4 linked regions of the Drosophila melanogaster genome follow. The protein of the gene in region 4 interacts with the protein of the main gene of each other region in a biochemical or structural test. Each region holds a gene or a part of one and is shown on either strand. Other genes may lie near its edges. The genes, in order: SF2, Rbp1, B52 and Tnpo-SR.

Region 1 (5,493 bases), on a different chromosome or scaffold from region 4:
CGACCAGTTCGTTCCGTTCGAAATTATAAAAAACAACAAACACAGAGCAGTTCCCACGCGCGTCCGAACAGCTGGTGAATATTTTTTGAAAAACCCAACAACAAAATGCGCGTGTTGCTTATATAGTTTGTTTGCCAGTGTGGCCGTGCTGCAAAGTGACCAAAAATCGTTTTTCGCACAGAGAAATCTGGTATTTTGCGTTAAAACAATACGGTCATCATTGCCCTAATAACAGTCCTCTGTAAAAATCCATAAGCGGGAAGTTTAAAATTGATTCGGAATGCAAAGGTTGTGAAATCCAGAACAGAAGTCTTTCCTGCAGATAATACAAGCAAACTTAATTTGTAATCTTCATAAGTACAGGAACATCCCATAAACACAAATACCTGCTACACGAGTCTAGCAGTCTAATTTTAAGCTCATAATCTCAGCAAGATAAATTGCTAAAAGTATTTGATTGCACCCATCTTATAATGTTGTATTAAAAGCATGACATTTTTCTTAATTTTTATGAATATTTATTGTAAATGTGTATTTCATTTCAAAAATATGTTAGAACTATGGCTTATATGTTGATCGATAAGCAAGGAGAACGAGAGAACTGTTCTGTTCCAAAATTGCTGTGGTATTACTTTTTATTAGGTTAACGAAAGTTCATGCAAATGATGCGGGTGTGGGCTATAGTCGGGGCCTATGAATTTTCGCCCTTCTATTCAAAAAAAATGAAAAACAAAACGCACACGCGACAATCGCCACATTTCAGAGGCAACAATATCAATGGAGACGAAAGATTTGGGTAAAGAGTATATAAATTATAAACTAAATAACGCAAATTAAAAGTTAAATTTGATGTGGCAATCTAACATACCACAGAGAGGCGAGACAGAGGGAGACCGGAACGCATCGGATCGGACCAGACCAAGAACCACTATCCACTATCCAGCGTTGGGCGCAAGTCAACGTTGGATGATGCACAGCAAATCCGTGAAATGACAACGACAGGGGCGCGAAGGCCACGAAATACGCGGTTCCCTGGGTGAGCTAGTTTCTGAAGTGCGATCCAAAGAAGGCGACAACAAAGCGTGTGAGCCTGTCCAAGCGAATCCTAATCCCGACCGTTAGGCAGATGCCGAAGAAGGGGCGAGGCTCGAAGAGATGCGGCCGAGTCCGAAACTGTATGATTTAGTCCTGTCCAAGGGCAACGCAAGTGTTCCTCACCGTCAACGATGCCATCGACATTCTCCTCCTCCAAACATCCGTTAACCTGAACACGACCAAAGTTCACACATAAAATCCTTCAACAATGCGAAATTCCTGTCTCCTCCTCCTCCGAGGTGCGAGTTAGCCATGGGACACTGCATCCCACGTTGTCCTAGCGAAGGGCTCAGAACAATCCTAAATCCAAATCCAATCCTGATTACAATCAAATAAATATTTTCATATTTATAAGATCTATAGACAGGTCCTGCCTCCACTAAATTCAATCCAAATTTATCCAATCCACGCCAAAATCAACATCAAAATATCCTCCTCCACATCCATTAATCCTCATCCTCCACATCCTCATCACTCTCCAAACATAAACGCGCAAAATGGGGAAGAGAAGAAAATAAAAATTAAAGTATTAATAGTTTGCTTATCAATGTGGTTGACATTGCGTTGTGTTCGGATTTCTGTTTCTTTTCTTTATCTCATTACAAACATATTTATTCTGTATCGATGTTTCTTGTTTTCGTTAAGGTAGATTCTAATAAATTAGCTTGGAAAACGTGCAGCCAAAATAAGAGTTATAATATAATATGTAGGAAGCAGACTGAGCAAAGGCTCAAAAGATAATCAAAAGCAAATCAAGGAATGCCGAGTGCTTTTGGCCAAAGAGAATTCCTTGGTTTACAGTTGTCATTTTAGAACTGTTTTTGTCAAATTTTGCCCGGTGGATTATAACTTAAGAGAACATTTCTGCTTCTTAGAACGTGTGATAAGTTGGAAAAGCAAGTGTTTTTCTTTTTTAAGTATGTTGGCTTCGGTGAGAGTTCGGAACTTGACTGAACAAACTTGATTGGTCGTTGATTTCATTTTACAAATCAATTTACAATTGGGGTATTTGAGGGGTCTTGAACAAATATTGATTGGTATTTCCTAATATAGCTTGCTTTTCCTGTTTCCTGCTCATTAAAATATTATAGATTAATGGATAATGCTTGGTTGTGTTTAATAGTTAGAACGTGAGCGAGACCTGGAATAAGATTGACGTCGCACTGGGGAGTATGTGGGAGTGCCACGACGGCGCGGCCTCGACGAGAATGAGCGCGAACGGGATCTGTGGAGGGATTCATAGAATAAATATTGAAAAATGAACTGTGGTAATATTTGGTTTACCTGTCGCGGTAGTCACGGCTTCCACCTCCGCCGCTGCCGCCACCACCTCCACCGCTGCCGCCACCACCACCGCCTCTGTCGTTATCACCGCTATCCTCGCGTACGCGAATGTAGGCAACCTCGCCCTAAAGACAATAAAAATATTAATATCATTTGAATAATGTCGCCAAACTATTTTTCAAAATGTAAACAGGAATGTGAACTAGATGTTTATCAAATTGACACATTTAAGGGCGTAAGTGTAAGCATCTACACCAATATAACTTAATGTTATTCCTGAAATCATATTTAATTATTCCAGCCTGTGAATAATGTATGCTGACAAAATAAATGCAAAAGTAAATTCTCTACCTTGAAACCCGAATACATTTGAATTTTACAAAGTTGGAACTGGACAATTTACATACCTCATGCGATCGGAAGCGAGAGTCGTCCAATTTTTTGATTGCGTACTTCATGTCCTCGTGGCGCAGGAACTCAACGACGCCGGAACCATCCTTGTAAGTGTCCGCGAAGCAGACGTCGCCGGCCTCGCGCATGTGATCCTTGAGATCTTGCCACGATCCGGAGGCGGGCAGTCCAGTAACCATGACGCGGTACTGCGAGCGCTTGGCTGGCGGTCCGCGTCCGCCCATCCGTCCCCCACCGTCGCGGCTTCGGTCATTGCGGTTGCCGCCGCGGTAGCTTCCAGGACCACCGCCCCGCGGGAACTCCACGCGCAGACGATACCCATCGTAGTCGTAGCCGTCGCGCGCCTTCACCGCATCGTCGGCATCCCTAAATTGGGCCAAGAGGCAGCCGGAGGATATGGACCATGGTCAAGGAAGGAAGAGAAGCAGTTGTCGCGAATTAGTTGGGTGTCTTAGCCGGGGCGCTGGGCCAGCTGTGTGTATTCGCATTACTCACCGCGCATCTTCGAACTCAACAAAAGCAAATGGCGGCCCACGCCGATTTTTCAGATCGACGAAAGTTACTTTGCCGAACTTGTGGAACAGGTCCTGGATATCCTTGGTGCGTATATCTGGGGGAAGGTTGCCCACATATATACGGCACTCGTTGCGTGATCCCATTTTCTCCAGTTTAAATCAGACGCTTCGATCTATTTCGATTTTCAGAGAACTTATTTTTGTCACGCTCACAATGACAAATGGCCGACGCAGTATGACCGTTAGTTCGAGTTGGGTAAATCCCTTGGGTGCACAGTAGTTATCGATAATTATAACGTTGATACGAAACTATAGGTGGAAGTTTCGTTGCTTATATCGATAGCTACCCTGTAAGTACTTACTTCGCTTAGTTGGGAATTAGAATGAATAAGTTATTAGAATGAAATAAATTAAGAAGTTTGTGGAATTTCCTCGGTTAAAGGTTATAAGGCAGGGTAAACATAATGTCGTTCCTTTCATTTATATTATAATTTACCGATAGTTATTGCCAATCACGCCGAGCTGCAATGTATTCGCGCAGTGTCACCACTAAGCGTCGTTCAGTCGAAGAAAAGACAACAAATATTTGCATGTGCAATACACTAAACATAAATAGCATTTCGAAAACCACTGAGCCACCGGAAAAATGGCTGCGGCCGGAAGCAACGTTCGCTGCATTAACTACTACGACCTGTGTCGCATCTGCACGGACAGCAGCGATCACAAGACGAACATCTACTCACCCGAGGGACGCGCCAAGAATCTGAGCCAAAAGATACTCGAGTGTCTCTCACTGCAGGTCGTGCTAGTGCATCAATCTCCCATTACTTTTGGCTAACAAACCCATACTTCTTGCAGATCGATGAAAAGGATCGCTTGCCCAAAGTGGTGTGCGCCCAGTGTGTGCAGTTGGTGGAGCAAATCCACGGACTTCGCGCCACTTGCCGTAACTCACAGACCATGCTAAACAACTGTCTCAATATTCGCCCGGCGCCAAGCAGCGACAAGCTATACATTCGGGATGCGGTCGATGAAACTGGGAAGAGCCTCAGTGTGGCGCAGTCAGCTCCACCAGTTCCTAATGGAGCTCAGCAGTCCGGAAATCTCTTGAACAGCATAATCCAGGCGGTAAACATGCAGCCCCAGCAGCAGTACACCATAACGATGGACAACGGGGTACAGCAGCAGCAGCAGCAGCATCAAGCTATGCCGGAAGTTCAAATAAAAAGCGAAAGACAGACGTGAGTGGGAATTCACTTTCATGAAAATCATCTCAATAACATTCTATCCACTTAGTGCTTTGGAAGAGTTTATACGCCTCAAGCCTGACATCAAGATAACGCCGCTGGGGAAAAAGGAGCCCATATCGCCTGCCAAGCCCCAGCAGCAACATTCTCTGCAGTCCCAGACAGTAACGCCTACCATAAACCCTACTCAGTTGCAGTTACAACCGCAGCTAGGCGATCAACTGCAGCCTTTGTGGCAGCAGATTCAACAACTTCAGCTTCAGCAACAACTACAGCAACTGACCAACCAGCTGCAGGCTACCACACAGTACTCCGTCGCTCAGGATGATACGTCAAGTTCTGGCGACAGTAAAAAGCCAAAGTTGAACTTTGTGCTCTCTTCGCCTACAGCGCCCCAGTTCACCACTTCAATGCCGCAATTCGGTGGCAGTCAGCCGCAAATACAGCTGCAGTTGATGCCAGGTAGCGGAGGAGTGACAAGTGCAGGGACAGTTCCTGCCCAGACGCAGCTAAATGCTGCTGCCCTGCTCTCCAGCCTGGCGGGTCCGCAGTCGACAACCAACCTGCTGTCACCAAACAAGTGCTTTCTGCCTATCACCATTCGGGACGAGAATTCGGATCAGCAGATCGTGGCGCACATAGACACCAAGAACCTAGTGTTGCCCACGACATACCAAGTACAGATGAAACTTCAGCCTCAGCTGGCCACTGCGGATGGCCAGCCAATCATGCAGCTGACACCAACATCAATTCCGGCTACTCTGCAACTGACACCGCAAACATTGGGCAATCCAGGAAGCGCCTTCCAGGGCACTACGGTGACGCAAAATCAATTTCTGGCGCCGCAACAACCGCTTACCCAACTTCCAAATACGGCACAAGTGACCTCTCAGCAAATTATTAGATCTCCACATACCAGCACCACCAATTCGCAGTTGGTG
Region 2 (4,332 bases), on a different chromosome or scaffold from region 4:
GCCACAAGCGTCTTGGGTTCAGTACGTCACCAGACTCCACATACACGCATTGGAAGCAAACCGTGTTCTACCTCGATGACCACATGACGGCAAAGAAGAACGAGGAGATCACTGGCACGTTCCAGATGAAGCCCAACGAGCGGAACAACCGTGACCTGGACTTCGTCATCGACATTAATTTCAAGGGCGAATTGTCTCAAATTCAGGAGTCGAACACATACCGCATGCGCTAGGGGCAGCCATAACCAATCCGATCTGCCATTTGGGATGGGGCTCAGAGCCCTGCAGCGAGGATACATACAATGACTAGACGTAAGGTTTATTCCAGTGCGAAATGTGCAACGAATTCGTGTTGCGTCTTCTCCTAAGTTTAAAGTGTACCTTTGTTAGTATACATAATATTTTACACTCGTGCGCCTGTTTAAATTATTATTCGAACATACTTCTAAGCAAGTTGTACAGCAGCACGTCAATTCTCACATAATAAACAGTGCACTAAGCACGTCCCCTTTTGCTGGAAACAAACTGTTTTTGATGATATATGAAACCAATCAAAACTCGCTGATTGTGCGTCTTTATTTTTTAGTAAAAAAAAAAAAGGAATTTCAAGAATGCATCGAAAGATTTATATTGTCATCTGAAGTAAATTTACTTGGATCGCAATCGACATAGGAATTCCTACAGAAAATACGGCCTTGGCCGGCTTGTTCTTTGATGCGACACTGCTTAAACGATATCCTTTTGGAAACATTAATGACGATCCCGAGAATCCGAGCGACTTCGACGATCGCGCGAGAAGCTGCGGCTGCGGGGCGATCGGGAGCGACGTGGCGAACGTGACCTGAAATAAACGCATTGGTAAAGAAGAAATGATTACTTAAAAGCTTAATAAAATTATTTAAATCAGCTTAGAATGGTAAGAAGTGTATGTACATACGCGCCTTACAAAGAGCTGCAAAATAGGAGTGTTAAATACTGCTAAATAGTTACTTAAACTAATTACCAGGGGGAACAAAAATGAAAGCTGTGCAAACTGTTTTGTTTCTATGAATTAAGCTGTGAACCAATTAAGATAAGAGTATTATTGCTAATGCTGCTATTACATTTAGCTGCTGCAATTACATTTACTATCTATTACCAACTGATATCCTATAATTAGAGTTTAAAGCTTTCTACTTTGTCGGATACATATGCAATAAGAAAATGGTCGAACAAATCTATAGTAGCTGTGATCATCAGCGTTAAACGCGTTCAAGGCCAGTTTTCTCGACATCAGAGTCAAGTACTTGAGAAAGCGGACGAACCCTCATATCATAGGCAACTAAATTAAAGAAATAATTGTAAGCAATTATTTGAAGGATACGCAGGATAACTTTAAAAAAGAACTCTTTGGGCGACTGCATTGCTTCTTCTAGGATGAAATCATTTGGGTTGCTAATCAAAACTTCTGTGAGGCTGTGACGCTGAACATGGTTAATTTAGAGTTGCAAGTTGAAGGTTGCTGGCTGTGGCTGTGAAGATGGTTGCTGTTGTAGATTGTTGATGTTGTAGAAGGAAGAAGTAGCAGTGGAAGTAGTTCTAGCCGAAGGAGTTATCCTGAAAAAGTGTCGATAACTCGAATTTAACAACCACTAAATGATTGGATCGTAGATAATATATGTATACAGTTTGTAAGTTTGGTCTAAATAAAGTACCAAGTCAATTTTTAATTAGAAATGTTATGAATAGCGATGTGATGTCAGTTGGACATGAATAAAACAGCCTGCGAAGAAGTACTCATAAAACTGACATTTCGAAGGCTGTTCTATCACGTGCAGAAAAAGGCGGGAAAATGTACATGTTTGCTATTCGCAATTAATGTTTTTTGCGACGATTCCAATGAAATTTCGATAACAAATTTTATACGTTTTGATAAGGATTGATTAATTTTGACGGTTACAGGCAAGACCGCCATCATATGCTTAGAAACCTGAAGAAAGTACCCAATTTTTGGAGTCAAGTGATCCATTGTTCCATTTGGGAGACACATTGAGCCAAGTAACATGAGAAGTACAGTTTTTTTGTCGTGGAATTACCTGTAGCGTCCGGAACCAGAGCGACCACTACTGCCGCCTTCTCCGCGCCGGCGATCGCGCGAGCGACCCGAAGACATCTCTACGCGAATCCTAGTGCCGCAGCAGCGTGTTCCGTCCAGGGCACGCGTTGCGTCTTCCGCGTCACGGCGATCCTCAAATTCGACAAAGGCGAAACCTGGTGGATTGCGGGCCACCCACACGTTTCGCAGGGGTCCATATTTGGCAAATGCGCCTTCTATCTCGTGCTTGGACGCCGAGGAGCCCAGGTTTCCCACGTACACCTTGCAGGCCAAGTCCCACTCCCTATATCGCGGCATTTTTGTCGGGCGGTGCGGTATCGTGAGTATTGCGGGAGGTGAGCAAGCGGCTAAAACACGAGTATACGGGTTACTTATATTATCCGTGCAATGAGCTGTTGTATAAACACTAATTTCCACACTTACCTTCTAAAATGTCATCCAATTTTGTTAAAATTTTAACAAAAATCTCCGCCTTTCCTTTATTTATTACAATTACCGAAAAGTGTGACCAGACGCGGAAATAGTGGTGGCATCGAAAACCGATACATCGCTATCGCCAGTTTCTGATATGTTACATTTTCTTGTTATTAAATATTTTTATAATATTTCTCTAACCATTACAAGTGCCAAAAAAACAACAATTATAAGATATTGCAATTTCATTCACTAAAATTGTTAAATTATACGGCCTTATACAAGAAATTGAATACATATAAAATTAAAAATCACGATGTAACGATTTACAGCTTGAACCGTGGATGAAGTGATCACATCACTAATATTTATTGCCGATGGGGCAGGGAATTTCTCTCACCATCTGGCAGCACTGAGTTTCATAACCAGTCCGCCGGGCTTCATTTCATTGAACGAAAACATAAGCAAATCCTAACTTAAATGAGGCTGACGAACACTCTCTGTGCCCAGCACATCGGCTGGCATTTCAAGAAGCACTGGCTGGTCCAGGGTAGGCGAGTCCCCAAGGAAACTGGCGCCGCGGCGGAGCTCCTGAAGCTAGGTGTTCTGGTGAAGAATCCCGAGGATCTCTTGAACGCCAAAGTTGAAAAAAAACTGTGAGTATTAATGGGAAATATGTACTGATGGTAAAAGGTAACATATCTAACTTTACCTACAGAGTGGACATTGTTGGCGCACGCGAAAAACCCGTTCCCGAGGACAGCAGGCACCCTGACTGGCACCCCACAGTTTGCAACACTTACTCCGACAACAGCGTGCTAATTGGTGGATTGCCGCAGGCCCAGGTGCTGACCAACTCCATTGTGATCCAAACATTTCCCAAGCACATCGAGGATGCCATTGCAAGTCAGCAGTTGCCAAATTCCGTAGACAAGAGTGTCCGGCATGCGATTCTGGCATCCCACGTGCTTGATGCAGAGCAAGTCAAGCTGCCCAAGGTGAGGCTACCGGAGAGGCCGGCCTTTAACCTGCCCCGCTCCTACGGAATATCACACGAAAGGGTCAAGTAAGATCATATCTTTAAACTGTATCATAACATAAGTAAATAATAATATCTCCTCAGCCGACTGTTGGTAAACAAACTCCTGCATGAAAGTGAAAAACTGGCTGGCCGTTCAGTCTCTGTTCGAAGGAAGCTGATAGACAACGCGTCTTTTAAGACTTTTTTAAGCAAAGACGGGGATCTGCTAGGATTCTCAATCAATGCTGAAAAAGTGGTATTTGCCAACCGAGCCATCGAAGGTGTTAAGGGAAAATTCGAAGGAGATCTGCCTGATCTTTACCCCATGAAGAGTACTATATCGATTCCGAAGTACCACATTTACCAAGCTAAGAACTTGTATCGTAAGTTGTTTAATAAGTACTACCCGATGCATGACTAACAATGTTATTCATTTAGCTTTGCGCTCGGACATCACCTGCTCCCACCCGCACACCATCTTTACGGTGTTTAACAAACACCAAGTCAAAAACTCCCACGGATCCGAGGTCACAACTTCTCAGCTTCAGGCGAGGACACTGGTCAAAGCTTTCGTTGTGGCAGCCGCTCGAGCAAAGCAACTGCATGGGGATTCCGTAGGAGCTCTTCCCAAACCAATTGTTGTGCAGAGCGTCCAGACTGACGGTAGGACGTTCCACTTCGGAGTGTTGCAGCTGAATACCCTCGATCTTGGTGCCAATAGCACTGCCAAGAACTATTGGTTCCATAGGCAAAACTACAATCTGTTTGCTGAATGCTCTTATGAAGGAGGGCGAACGCATTT
Region 3 (7,897 bases), on a different chromosome or scaffold from region 4:
GTCAAACGCTTGGAAAGAAAAAATCTCTTTTATCCCTATGTGCTTTGTATATAATAGTGTACTTAATTCGTACAAGTAATTACTTTAAAAGCAAAACACAAACGATATATATTGTTAGAACCAAAACTTTGTCAGTTTATAAAACTTAGTTATGCATTTGATTTTAGATTGCTAATTCATTTTCAAATTTTAAATATTTAACTAGGATATATTTCAGCCAATGAGGTGTCAAAATTATCATTGGCGTTCTTCAAATTCAAGATAAATAAAATCAAATGAAATTGTAATTTTAATTCAGGCAAATAATGCGAAATAGTGAAACTAAGACTTTGTAATATACTTATATTCCGAAATTACGACAACAAAAAAGAAAAACAATAAACTAACTTTATATGATTAAAATCGTCGAAGTACTTTATATCCTTTTTGAAGTGAAACCAGCGAGCAAACATTTATAGTTTAAATTTATCCGTATTTATTGAAATTACTCATTGTATAGACAATTTTAAGTGTTCCGGTGTACAAGTCGCAGTAATTTCGTGGCCTATATGTACTCCTTGAATCCAAATCGGCACATTCAGCCGATCCCTGTCATCTTCCAGCCAATGTCCCATGTCCACAACAAGACTTAGGACAAATTGTCGTTATATATTTAAAAGAAAATGACGAGGCCCGACAGTGGTGGATTGGTATGATTTCATATTCATTAAGTTTTGGTTGTAGTCGGGGTGTCTGAGTGTTGATGTTTGTAGAATAGTTATAGTAGAAGTCTAAAATCAAGTGTTTTAATATTAATGGGACAGCTAACTAATCTAATCGTCCATGCTCTCGTTATTGCGGTCCGGTGAGGCGTTTCCATTTTTGGGCGAGGCCGAACGGGAGCGTGAGCGCGAACGCGACTTGTTTTCAGCCGATGCGGATCGATCGCTGCAAAAGAAAGGCATTGTAGTGAACTATAGAACGAGCTTTTGAACGACCACCGTTGGCGGGCTACAAACAGGTGCATCCAAACAAAACCAAAGAAAGCACGAAAGAAAGAATCGTGAACGGTCTATAATAATATGGAGCCATGGTCATCGCACTGTGGCCAAACTTACCGTGAACGGGAGTCGCGGTGGATGGACTTGGAACGTGAGCGGGAACGGGACTCGCGCTTCGAGACGGACCGCGATCGGGAACGGGAGTCACGCTCACGTTTGGGCGAACGGGAGCGGGTGCGGGAGTGGGACTTTGACTTGGACTTGGACACGTCACGCGATTTGCTGCAGCGGAAGTAGTGAAGTAATTAATTAGTGGGCAATCATATGAAGTAAAAAGCCAGGGAGGATCGTAATTAATATTTTCTATCGTGTAAAATCTATATAATATTAATATTAAAGCATATATCACAAAGAATTTGTGATTAAGTACGATCCCTACCAGACTTTATTCTCTCTCTACTTACTTGGATCGCGAGCGGGAGCGAGAACGAGACTTGACTGGCGACTTGGACTTGGAGCGTCCGCCACGAGATTTGGAGCGGCTGCGAGACTTGGAGCGCGAGTGCGACGAGCGGCGAGAGCGAGAACGCCTGCGGGATCGGGAGCGCGATCGGGAGCTGGACGAACGGGAGCGTCCACGTCCGCTGCCGCCGCCACCACCGCTGCGTCCTCCGCGACGATCCTCGACCAAGTGGATCCGCCTGCCGTTTAGCTCGGTGTCATCCAACTTCTCAATGGCCGTCTTCATGTCCGACAACGAGGCGAACTCAACCACGCTGCAAAGGAACACAATTGTAGTTGGTTGTATGTAAAATAATTTCAACCATTTTCAAACATACCCCTCATTGCGACGCTGCTTGTGGGCATCGGCATAGGTGACCTCGCCAGCCTGGCGCATGTAATCCTTGAGATCCTGCAGGGACGCACAAAGTCGGAACGAAAAGATAGTAATTAGTAAGTTTCAGCTTTGGCAGATGTCTCGCACATTTCGACATCGCACATCCGACGGCAGTGGTTGCAACTCAAAGGACAGCCCGTGCAGCAGATGGAGCATTTTGAATGTTTTCGGTATTATTTGGGGCTCCTAACCAAGTCCCAGCCTCTCACAAGTCCCTCTCTCTCTCTCACTCAGTGCCCTGTGTTCGTCTATCCTGTGCTCTTGTCGCGCCTGCCTACGTGTGGAAACCGAGAACCTCACTCCGGACGAAGGATTTCGCTTGGCCAGGAAAAAAGAAGGAGGAGGTGCCCAGAACGTACCGAACACAACATTCAAACACTCCACGCTGCACGCGGCACAAAACTTAAGCGTAAACAATCATAGTTAACAGTGGTTGGCAATTGATAGTAGATATATATATATATATATAGATTGAGTTGATTTGGTTTGGAAATAAATTAAAGTTAACAAAATAGTTGTAATTGAATTCTTACTTAATGCGCTTTCAGAGAGAGGAGGACACACACATCGTTTCTACACCGAGAGTTTAGATTGTCTGCCTAGTAACTGTGGGCCAATGACACCAAGGACACCTCATGACCTCATCGAAAGTCCGATCGAACATCGTTAACTCAACCAGTCAGCCAGAAGAGAACCAGTGGCCAGGCAGGCGGATGAGCGGATGGATGGCCAGAGCTCGTTACGTTTTGTTTGTTTGGATTTGGTATTCGTTTTCATTTGGCCACGTACGTACCACCAAGTACACAGTTTTGTTATGTTTTTCATGTACAACAGAATCATATTATAAATGGCAAAAAGGTATTCAAGTGTTGCGGTAGCTGTTTTCGTTTCGTTTCGGAGGAAGCCACACACCGGATACAGTCAGGAGGAGGTCAGATCAGATCAGAGCAGACATCGCTGGCCAGAACCACCGCACCAGAGAGCCAGAGAATGGAGCATTTGGAGCAGTTTGCCGGTCAGAGGCGGACAACAACCAGCGGCATCGGCACCTCACGCACAAACGAACTGCAAAAATAAGAAATACGTTTCGGGACGCTGCTCTCGCTTCTCCAACGGGTTGGGTTGGTGGTTGTCTAGTCGGTAGTCTCAGCCGGAGACGGGGCAGGTAGCCGTATGCCGTTTGCCGGAGCCGCAGCCATAAGCCAGAGCCGCAGCCGGAAGCCAGAAGAACCGGGAATGGGGGGAAGGAATAAGTTCGGAGGCACTAGCCGAAGTTGGTAACTGAACGCGCGACCAGCATCGCAGCATCGTGTCATCGTCATCGATCGATCATCGTCATATGCTCATCCCTCATCGTCGCCAAGACCATCACATCATCTTAGAATTAGCGAACGCAAGCTTCTCATCTAACCACACTCGATTGATTCGATTCGCACCCTCATCACACTCACAATGGCTATAAGGAATTTGACAATTCTTTATATAATATTGTTGGTAATTAAAATTGTGAATGTTTTTAGCAGAGAGTTAAATACCTAACGCAAGAGGCCAGCCCACGTCTTTTCAATCAGTGTGGGCTTTAATACGTGGGCTGGCCTTTTGACCCGGGCAGCTCATCAACGTCCATCGTCATCGTCTGCTTTCTGATTTCGATTTTGCATTCAGTTTTGGGTTCGATTCTGATCGACTTGTTCATTTCGTTATGTGTTCTATATTATGTTTTATTTGGAATAGACGACGAATGGATGAGGCGGCGGCGATGGCGCTTCGTGGAGGTCGGTCGTAGGTTGCAGATCGTAGTTCGCATATCGAAACCAATCTGGGGCGGCTCTGGGTACTGTCTCACTCTGTCTTCCACCGCATCTTGGTTTTTGGGTAACATTCTGAACCGGTCGGTCGGTCACTAGACTAGCTTGTCTTTCTCACAGCGATTCAATTAGATTTGATTCTCTTTCAGTTTTAGATTCGGCCCCAAGCCGAGGAGGGAATCTCTCAGTCAAAGCACATCAAACTCTTTTTATTATCGGTTTCGGTTGGTGTGTGCAAGAGAAAGTAATGGTGGGTAGATTACACCGATCAGTACCAGGGTTTTAGCAATATCTTTTGTTTTCGTGTTTCACTTAAGTCTAGGTCAACTGTACAGCTTAGGGCTAGATTACAGATTATAGAATTGGCTCTAGTCAGAGTGGAGGAGGAGTTAAAACACAAAACAGGACGAAGACACCGGAAAGTAATTCGAAATCAAAAAGGGGCTCGAAAAGGTTGGTTCTGGGATGGGTAAGTTGATTAATGGGTGTTTGTAATAGTGATCCATTTCAGTCGGTTAGCCGTTTTAATTCTAGTACTACACTCCTCGAATCTAAGCTACAGTATATACCACGCCCAAGGCGCGATACATCGATCCATGCTCACTTACCTGCCAGCTAACGCGGCTAGACAAATTCTCCACAATCAGTCGGTACTCAGTGCGCAACGGTGGGCCATAACGAGAGGATGATCTGGAATTTTTGTTTCTGGTGAATAATTGAATGGATTCGCTAATTAGTATTGACACTGCGCTGCTGCTCCTGATGCTCCATCACAAAAATTAACGGTAATGGTGAATATATTCCAGCATATGCATATTTACATTTGGGTTATGCGCAACAAATCAAACATTTTACATACTATGCGGATGGGTGGAACGTGCAAATAAAAGCAACAATAGTATGCATAGGAAAACGGAGCGTCTTGGAAATGATAATATTAACAGCAAGTCAGTGTCTTTTGGTTCCCTTCCACGCAGAAGAAATCAGCTTATACGATTGCACTACCAAAAGTGTATAAAACTATAGAAGTCAATATATAATAAACTGATGTTTTTTATATATATCGCAAGTAGCTAATATTATAGGTATATAGATTTTGCACGATCTAAGCTGGTTGCATCTGTGTGGATGGAGATATCAAACGAAACAAATTGGCAGTGCTAATTCTAGGGCAAACTTCAACGCAAACAAAGTTGGAGGACGATATCGTCGCTACTTTGGTCCGGTTTTAAGGTCCGCTGGCAGTACTACTTACTTTTCGTTGTAACGACCGCCCCCGCCCCCCCGCCGACCACCATATCGATCGTCGTAGCGGTCGCGGTTGCTGCCACGAGCGGTACCCCTGGCGGGTTCAACAACCACACTGCAAAAATATAGAACATACAATCGTGAGTCATTTCGTACTTTGGCTTATATCTAACAACTCACCGTTCGCCAAGCAGCTCTTTGCCATTCAGTTCATAGACGGCATCGTCGGCATCACGATAGTCTTCGAATTCCTGAAAATTCAATTAGTGATTAGTATTGATTATGGAATTAGTATTGAAGCTACCCTGCCTGTGCATACTCTTATGGAAATACGCTGGGTGAATTTAAGAACAGTTTTTAAGCGTCACTGTATTTGACAGACAAATGATGGAACAAATATAGGTTCAAAAAGAAAAAAAAAGTATTCAAGGGTCGGCTTGAAATGTTAGGAAACCTATAGACAAACAGAGAAATGCAGAAATGTCTTCAAATCAAATTTAACCGATTTTTTTTTTTTACATATTCCAGTTAAATATGATATTTTGTACTCACCACAAAGCCGTAGCCATTTTTGATGAGGATGTCGCGTGTGCGGCCGTAGCCTTTGAAAAAGCGCTCCAAATCGCGCTCGCGCACTCCGTAGGGCAGACCGCCCACATACACTCGAGATCCCACCATGATAACGGTTCCTTACGTATCTGGAGCAGGTGCTATAAAATAGTGAAGTATATATATATATATCAGCAAGGGAACCGTTGCAGTTTGCAGCTTCTATTTTGCTCGACTGTCCTTTAGGAATGGAAGAAAAAAAAAACGCACATATGTACGCGCCGTGTATGTTTCGCCAAGATGGCGGCCACCACATACACACACACACGCTCGCAATGTACCGGGTGTACAGAACCGCTGCAAAAACGAGTTAATTTAACAACGCGAAATACGCGCTGTTCTTCACTTAAGCGTACTCACTAGCACGTACCGTTCAGTGAAGGATATTTGTGGCAAATTTACAATTAAGTCGCTGCCGTACTCTCTCTTTTTCAGGCTTTCCCACACGAAAAAACGCAAGCGACTCGACACAAACGGAAGTGAAAGTGACAGACGAAAGCGATGTTTGACAGTCATTCCAAAGGCGGAATGGAACGATACTTTTTCGCCTATCGATATTTTGGGCGGGCAATGCGTTTCGCTGCGTTAAGGGTATTCCAGTTGCTGTTCGTGTTCCGCTATGAAAAGAATAAACATTAAATATACTTAGTAGTAGCATTTGAATATACTGTTAACAACCTTTTTATTTTGATATCTGCTAGCAAGCACTCATTAGCATTTTTTAACGTTTCTGATTTGATGATATACATAAAATGTTTCTGGATTTATTAATTTATTTCGCACGATGTCTTTTTTTATTCCCAAATGCCTCATAGATCCCGTAATTGTAATATTGATTGACCCTTAGCTGGCTACTTACAAATATACAATTCAATACAAAATAATTTACAAGTTATCTCTTAAAGTGAAGCCTTCCATCGCCCCAGCTAAAGCGAATGCTCGCAGAAAGAGTTATGTAAGCGGTATTAATAATAATACATATTTAGCTAAAAAGTTAAACATATTAAATGTTTCTTGGGTTATCGTGGTAGTAATTATCATAATCCATTTATAAAGATAATACATTCAAATCCGTTTGTTCAGAAATATATACAATAAACTTGTCTAATATTTTTAAGCCCTTACTAGACGAATACAAATTTATATGAAGATATATAAAATCAAGTGTGGCATCAGCTTAATTGTCGAGGAACACCCCTAACGCACCGAAACAATCGTTCCGATTCCACGTGGCGTCCGATTTTCCGACTTTACCCCGTTCTCGACACCTGGTCATACTGCTCACTCCATTCTCATTGTGCGTGCTGTACATTTCATTTATTGCCAGTCTGCCGTCAAAAAAGAACAAAAACAAAAAAAATATTTCCTGCGTTCGGTGTTTAAACTTTCCATCTTCTTGAACAACCAAGGAGAGAATGGCGGAACAAAACGATTCCAACGGAAACTACGACGATGGTGAAGAGGTGAGTTGCAGAATGACCAATTGCTGTTTGTAAATCGTTCATCGCGCGTGAAAGTGCAAAATGTCGACGCCGACAATATTCGTGTATAATATACATTCACGCCGCTTTTTTACCGAATTATGGGGGCCATCGATCCCTGTGCGAATTTAGCCAGCTAAAAGTTTATCGACCTCTTTTGGCGAGAAATATAAGCAATTTCCGATAAAAAAGTTGCCGGCTGTTTGATAAAAAAGAAAACGAAAATTCATACATACATACACATATACGGGCTGTCATGGCGGTGCAAATACTAAAAAAAAAAAAAAAAAATATGGCGAGCGGCTTTTTCTCGCCAGGTAAATTACTATTATAAACAATGGCAAATCCTTGTTGATCAAGGATGATTTTGCACTTTTATCGTTTTATTGACATAAACTTATTGACTTATTGACAGCAACTTATTTTTTTATTAAATTTACAGCAACTTATTATACATTTAAATATTTTTTATACATTTATTCATTTAGATACAGTATGATTTTTTTTTTTATTATATAAATTTATACATTTTTCGCAAAGTTTGTCCAAAGAAATCAATTAATTTAATTTAATATTACAACTTATTTTCGAATCAATGGGTTTTTTTTTTGTTTTTAGAAATTATTTAAATTATAGAACGTCTTTAGCTAATGCATTTGAAATTCACCCGCAGATCACCGAGCCAGAGCAGCTGCGCAAACTGTTCATCGGCGGACTGGACTACCGCACCACAGATGATGGCCTGAAGGCTCACTTCGAGAAGTGGGGCAACATTGTCGACGTGGTGGTGATGAAGGATCCCAAGACGAAGCGCTCTCGCGGCTTCGGTTTCATCACGTACTCCCAGTCGTACATGATCGACAATGCGCAGAA
Region 4 (6,154 bases):
ACTGACTGACATGTCCAAGCAGGGCATCAACACGGCGAACACCGAGAGCCTCATGCAGGCTATACACAAGATCGATCCTCGCACTGAAACAATTTGAATCGTGAATCTCCGCTACAATTTTCATCCATTAGTTTAATATTTTGTTCTGTAGTCTTTAGCTGTCCGGCGAAAAGTGCAATTAGATAATGTGTGCAATTAGTTTTAAGGTGAAAGAAGTATTTATCAACCTTTGAGGTAGAGCCCATATGTACCCCCTTTGTCCTCCAAAGTAGTCCGTTCGTGCGAACAATGTGTCACAAAGCATAACCAATTTAAGACAACAATTAAAAAAAAAAAGTATGTACGTCTCTTCGTCTAAATGTTTAATTCGTTATTTTAAAACTCTGATTTTCAAATTAAAATGTTAGATTTTTATAACTAAATCAAAGATTTTCAAATAATTTAACTAAAATTGGTTCTTATTAATAGCTTACATTAATATTGCGACTAAATGTAATTCGAAACAAAAAGGTTCTGTTCGTAACGTACTGCTTTGGTAACTTAAAGGTTAGTCTAAGCATATTTATGTTTCATGTTACGTATTGTTTGATATCTCTTCAATCGTCTAGTTTGTAGTTTGTACCCAGTGGGAGTTGTGATTAAGCCGTGCAACGTACATAATTCACAAATCCATCATCGAATGTCCATGACGCAGTGTCTCAAAATCCATGCCCAGAATTCCATATCAGCCTGCGGAAATATCAGACAAGTCAAACGAACAACGCAGCTCCCAGACTTTTTTGTTTTTTTTTTCTTCCAGCCCAATGTCTTGTGATTGCTTTTTCAATAAATAAATATTATACTCAAGTGTTTTGCAGAACAAATGTGGTCAATTATATCTAAATGGTATATATTTAATGGTTTGCCTTATGCCTATGCTTGTTTGTGAGTCATTTTAGGTTTTAAACTTAGAGCTAGGAGTGCACGCTGATGTAAATAACTTACTGCTAAATTCTGTGAGGATCTCTTGACCGCACTCAAAATGTACAATTCAAATTATATATAACTTATTACGTCAAACAATCGATTCAACTATATTATAAATAGAGGGGTACGTGCGTTTTTAACAAAATTCCTAGCACCCTTGCCACATTACATACATCATTCAAAATGTACAGAATCATCCGAATCCAAACTCATGCATCTCCCTGATTAGCGAAAGAGTCGCGTGAAGGTTTTCAAGGCTTGCGAAATGGCTTTCGTTGTGTCCGCTCTACAAAAGGAAATATAATATATTATGAATAAAATACAAAACGTCTGATGGCAAATCCTCACCTCAGAACTGTGCTGCTAAATTCGTCCAGCTGTTGCTGCGTGGCTGTCACGTAGCCACCGCTGTTCTTTTTGGGCAGTGCCTCCAGCGCCTGGGCCAGGAAGGGCTGCATCCGCTCGTTGCCCACCACCTGCTTCAGTTCGTGGAGCACCTCGGCCACATCCACCAGCATGTAGGAGTGCAGCTGAAAGACGGATGCCTGGATCAGGTTCATCACCAGAGCACCGCCATGCTGACTGGCCAGCTCCACCACCAAGGGACGGCACTCGGTGTTCCGGCTATGGTTATTCGATCTGCCCCAAACCAACAGGTTGATAAAGAACTTCATCACAGACGAGTTGGCCTCGCGGTGGTCCAAGGAGCAGGCTATTAGCGCACACTGGAAGATCGGCGTGATGAGACTGCTCTGGAGCAGCTGGTGGGGACAACAGTCCAGGTAACGCGATGCCAAACGGAAGAAGTCATCCACTGTGTCGGGGTTATTTTTTAGACCGTTCTCCATCTGAAGCAGGCCAAATGTGGGCTCTATAAATGCCTGAAGCATCTCCAAAAGTCCGCCAATGCACTCGCTGGACTTTGCGAACTCGTCCACCAGTATGGAACCCACGTAGAGGAAGCAACTGTGGTGCTGCACAGAATACAGCACGACCATTTGTTTGATCAGCGGTTCCACCAGCATCATTGCTTGCTTTCTCACCATCCGAATGCCGTAGCGAATCAGTCGGCAGGTGCGCTCCATGATACGCAGATCACTCTGGTACTTATCCATCACCCGCGATATCAGCTGCCAGGCGTCGTTCAGAATAGCTACCGTGGGGTGCTCCACGTTGTCGGGAACGTCTGGATTCGTGTGTCGGATAATGGCGCAGGCGCGGTCTATCCAGTAAACGGGATCGGTGCGCTCTCCCTTTTGAGGAGTACTGCCAGTGCTGTCCACCAATTGTGCCAGTGGTTGCAGCTGGAAGCCGACGATTTCCCGCAGAGCAGGCTGCAGTTGCTCGCGTGGCAGGCGTGTCAGTATAAGCGATATGCCCTTTAGCAATCCTATTGCCACATCGTTGTTTATTTGAAAGCTGTCCAGACTGCGGGCGATCTCCACAAGACCGCTTATATGGCACACCATCTTCTGTCGGCAGGCGGAGCAAATGGAAGTCAATGCAATGGCCGCAGCTGGCGCCAAGCCATTTTTCTGCTGCAGGGCGTACAGCAAAAAGTTTAGGACTGCCTCCAGCGATTCAGGATGGTTCTCAATCCAGTCGCACAGTTCGCCGATCAGTAGAATCGCAGTGTACCTAACTGCTATGTGCGTTTGCTCCGACATATTGAGAATCGCCTCCACCACCTTGGGGATCACTTCGTTCTCATCTCTGCAAGGTAAGTATTGTAAATCTGACATGGTAATAAACAGCTGCATACGTACGGAAGTATATTTTTGGCCACGTTCTGCATAATGAACAGTGCTGCCTCTGTGGACTCCCACGTAGTTTCTGGAGCTTGCAGGATATGAAACATTTGCTTGAAGCACGCTCCAGATCCCACTATGAAGGCCACGTCTTTTATTAGATCTGAGACCTTGCGTCGAAAGTCCTGCAATTCATTTGTTTTAAGATTAGTACAATTAACTTCAAGGCATTATATTAATTTAACGTTGATAATGTAGAAAACTAATCAAACTTCTTGTACTCATTTCTAAATAAACCGACTCTAGCCATAAATGCCTATTCAATTAAAATACCCAACTTCAAAGAAAACTGCTAAAATTTCTCAATATCACACACTCACAAAGAAATTGTTGTTCTCCTCGATGAGCCCGTCGTGGTCGCTCTCCATTTGCGAGTGGCGAAACAGGGCGCTGATCAGCCGCTCGATGTGCGGCCGGAATAGAACCGTCAGCTTATCCTCGTTGCGCTGGAATAGATCCTCGGAGAGTTTGTACCACAGGTGGAAGGTGATCTCGGCCACCTCGTAGTCGAAGTGTCCGACGCAAAGCAGCACAAGATCCAGTCCTTTCAAACTGTAGTGTGGCTTCTGGGCATCGGCCAATAAATCGTAGAAGAAGGCATCGCACAACGAGGTGAAAATTCGGCAGTAGTTGATCGTCTTGTCGGTGTCCTCGTGCGCCACACTCAAGTGATAGGGAGTCTCCAGCATGCAGACAGCTCCAAAGAGTTGTGCCTCGAAAGAGGACTCCGGATCGCTGGCGCCATCCTGTCGTGTGTTTATGCAGGAGAGCAGCGCACACACGCATTCGGTGGCATTGTCGTGCAGTTTTCCACTGGTCTCCGGCAGCGAGAGCAACCGGAAGGCCAGCTGTGTGAGGGCGTTGTTGTACACGTGCGAGACGGGAAAGGCATGGATCACCAGCCAGGCACTGTAGGTGCGCAACGCCGCATTCCACACGCGCTGCTGGTCGAGATCCTCCCGCTGTAGGCACATACACAGGAACTTTAGGACACACTCTGCGCTGGCGTCCAGCTGCTTGTGCACCTCCTCGCGCCGATTGGCGCCCAGCCGCAGATACCGTGAGTCTATTTCCTCGGGAAGCACCTTGAGCACCTCCAGCAGGGGCCAGATGGCGCACTGATGTGGCGCCAGTGTCACCAGAAGATCGTTGATCGGCTCCCGCCAGCTGGCCATCAGCAGGGCCAGATCGGCAACCGCCAGACTGAGCTGCGTCACAATCACATTGTCCGTCTGCTCGTCGATCTGGCCTATGTGTGTGATCAGTGAATCCCGCAGAGATTCGTGCGTGTGCGGTGGCAGTTCGCTGAAGGAGTTCTGTATCTTGTTCCGCATGGTCTGCGCAGCAAAGTAGTTGGCGTGCAGGTCTCGTTTCTGGTGAAGCAGCTCGTCCGCAATCGTCCAAGAATAGATCTTTAAGGAAGTCCAAAAAAAAACTTAGCAATCGCACGAAGGTTTCGTACACCGGGCGATTATCACTCACCGACTTCTGGAAGTCCTGGAGCCATTTGTTGGCCTTCTCCTGCTCCTTGGGATTGTTGCCTTGGAAGAGGGCGCTGATTGCTTGGTACACCACGTCCACCGAGTACGTATCCATTTCATCGGCAGCTTTAATCAGCGCATAAAATTTCTTAATTACTTATTATTATACTTTATTAGCGATGGCTGATTGCGTACATCCCGTGTATCGATAACGCAAGGAGGTGGCATGCGATAACTTTGAAAGGTGAATGTCCGATAGTCTGCAGGACTTTTTGAAATTATTCAGGGTTGTCAAGTGCGTCAAACATTAAGGACCATTAAAAATAATTAAAATATTTTTACAGTCAAATATTTTTTAGCTTATGTGAATTCGTTTTTTGAGCAATAAAGCTACTCGGTTTTTATATCTTAATACTTGCCACCCCTATGTAGTCGATACATCGATACCATTGGTTGCTCGCAACAACATCTCTAATCAGTTTTCTGATCAGAATTCTGCAATGGATTCGGACAGCACCGTGACTTCCTTGGAGGAGAACACGGAGAACTTTTGCACGAATCCCACGCGCGACATCCTCGCCGAGGGCATCACCAATCTCTTCAAGCCGACGATCGAGCGGTTGGACGAGCGCGTGGCCTCCACCATCCAGCTGCAGGCTGAGCTGCGTGGCCAACTGGATGCACTGGCCGCCCAGCTGAGGGACATCGAAAAGGCGCAGAGTCAGATACCCGAGTTCGCGGACAAGGTGAAGGAGCTGCTGAACGTCAAGCACAAGGTGACGGTCATAAGCAACGTGTTGGTGACCAGCCAGGAGCGGCTGACGGGTCTGCACAAGCTGATAGAGAAGGAGCAGCGGCGGCGACAGGCGCTTCTCGATTCCGCGCTCAGCACCAACATATCCTAAATCCAATTACTGTTCGTCATGGAGACGCCCTACACCGACCACTTGAGCCCAGAAGATTTCGAGCACGTTTACGAGCCAGCGGAGGACTCGTTCCTGCTGCTGGATGCCCTGGAAAAGGATCTGGAGTACCTGGACCGGCTACAGCCGAGTCTCTGCGTCGAACTGGGCTCCGGTTCGGGTGTGATCATCACGGCGCTGGCCAAGAAACTGGCTGGCTTTTCGCTGTGCCTAGCTACGGATATCAATCCCAAAGCCTGCAATGCCACTCGAAGAACTGCGACTCGGAATGGCGCTCGCTTGGATAGCATTCGCTGCAGCCTAGCGGATGCACTGCGTCCGCGATCCGTGGACGTGCTGCTCTTCAATCCGCCCTATGTAGTCACCAGTGACGAGGAGCTGCAGACGCAACAGTTCGATTCGCACAGCGAATCCTCAACGGATCGCAATCTGGTTTTCTCCTGGGCTGGTGGACAGGACGGGCGACGCGTCACGGACATTCTACTCAAGCAATTGGATGACATTCTTTCGCCTCGAGGCGTGCTCTACCTACTCCTGCTGCGGGAGAACAAGCCGGAGGAGATTATCAAATACTTAGAGGGCCTCCAGTTCCGGGCTGTTAAGTTCATGGAGCGACGCATTCCTGGCGAGCATTTGTGCATACTGAAGGTCACCAGGTACTTGGCATCATCATGACTCGTGCAATAGCATCAAATTAAAGTTGTATTTTAATTAAAAGATAAACTTTTTTAGGCGTTTATTCTTAAATTTGATACTAAATAATATGGAGAATAATTTTAATAAAAGTTGAAATAAATGAAAGAAATGGCTTATGAAACTTAAAAGCTCTTAAACTTTTAGAAATTTTTGCGCTTATATTTGAATTTGAATATAAAAGTAGCTCAACTTCATTTGCCCAACGAAGAGCCCGGAATTTCATCATTCGTTTTTTTAATAGGCATCTGCTAAGGCTAATCGATTTTCAATCCGAAAAAGG

Evidence for each region.
Region 1: the proteins of Tnpo-SR (region 4) and SF2 interact in far-western blotting, tested with the Drosophila melanogaster proteins (one study listed by BioGRID).
Region 2: the proteins of Tnpo-SR (region 4) and Rbp1 interact in far-western blotting, tested with the Drosophila melanogaster proteins (one study listed by BioGRID).
Region 3: the proteins of Tnpo-SR (region 4) and B52 interact in far-western blotting, tested with the Drosophila melanogaster proteins (one study listed by BioGRID).

Annotation. Positions count from the first base shown.
Region 1 is NT_033777.3:16,338,443-16,343,935, forward strand, and holds SF2 (splicing factor 2), read right to left. Parts: upstream 3,547-5,493; 5' UTR 3,450-3,546; coding exon 3,286-3,449; intron 3,157-3,285; coding exon 2,787-3,156; intron 2,505-2,786; coding exon 2,380-2,504; intron 2,321-2,379; coding exon 2,212-2,320; 3' UTR 501-2,211; downstream 1-500. Other genes in the region: pad (poils au dos), read left to right, coding at 3,952-4,104, 4,164-4,546, 4,602-5,493.
Region 2 is NT_033777.3:10,782,667-10,786,998, reverse strand, and holds Rbp1 (RNA-binding protein 1), read right to left. Parts: upstream 2,617-4,332; 5' UTR 2,519-2,616; intron 2,443-2,518; 5' UTR 2,393-2,442; coding exon 2,076-2,392; intron 1,597-2,075; coding exon 1,479-1,596; 3' UTR 842-1,478; coding exon of another isoform or gene 751-841; 3' UTR 534-750; downstream 1-533. Other genes in the region: Art1 (arginine methyltransferase 1), read left to right, coding at 1-233; mRpL37 (mitochondrial ribosomal protein L37), read left to right, coding at 2,990-3,165, 3,228-3,575, 3,633-3,913, 3,969-4,332. UniProt on the Drosophila melanogaster protein: Contributes to the activation of female-specific DSX splicing in vivo by recognizing the RBP1 target sequences within the purine-rich polypyrimidine tract of the female-specific 3' splice site.
Region 3 is NT_033777.3:13,659,449-13,667,345, reverse strand, and holds B52 (B52), read right to left. Parts: upstream 6,036-7,897; 5' UTR 5,904-6,035; exon of another isoform or gene 5,645-5,903; 5' UTR 5,613-5,644; coding exon 5,487-5,612; intron 5,186-5,486; coding exon 5,115-5,185; intron 5,050-5,114; coding exon 4,942-5,049; intron 4,392-4,941; coding exon 4,295-4,391; coding exon of another isoform or gene 4,238-4,294; exon of another isoform or gene 3,892-4,237; coding exon of another isoform or gene 3,871-3,891; exon of another isoform or gene 1,894-3,870; coding exon 1,820-1,893; intron 1,757-1,819; coding exon 1,445-1,756; intron 1,263-1,444; coding exon 1,098-1,262; intron 991-1,097; coding exon of another isoform or gene 954-990; exon of another isoform or gene 928-953; coding exon 813-927; 3' UTR 455-812; downstream 1-454. Other genes in the region: Hrb87F (heterogeneous nuclear ribonucleoprotein at 87F), read left to right, coding at 6,959-7,006, 7,698-7,897. UniProt on the Drosophila melanogaster protein: Essential for development. May have a critical role in splicing or in controlling alternative splice site use of at least some pre-mRNA in vivo. Not required for all splicing. May play a general role in the condensation or decondensation of chromatin.
Region 4 is NT_033779.5:2,758,249-2,764,402, reverse strand, and holds Tnpo-SR (Transportin-Serine/Arginine rich), read right to left. Parts: upstream 4,480-6,154; 5' UTR 4,371-4,479; coding exon 4,257-4,370; intron 4,187-4,256; coding exon 3,095-4,186; intron 2,900-3,094; coding exon 2,733-2,899; intron 2,680-2,732; coding exon 1,315-2,679; intron 1,253-1,314; coding exon 1,192-1,252; 3' UTR 514-1,191; downstream 1-513. Other genes in the region: Snx21 (sorting nexin 21), read left to right, coding at 1-97; Snapin (SNAP associated protein), read left to right, coding at 4,756-5,160; HemK2 (HemK methyltransferase 2), read left to right, coding at 5,179-5,853.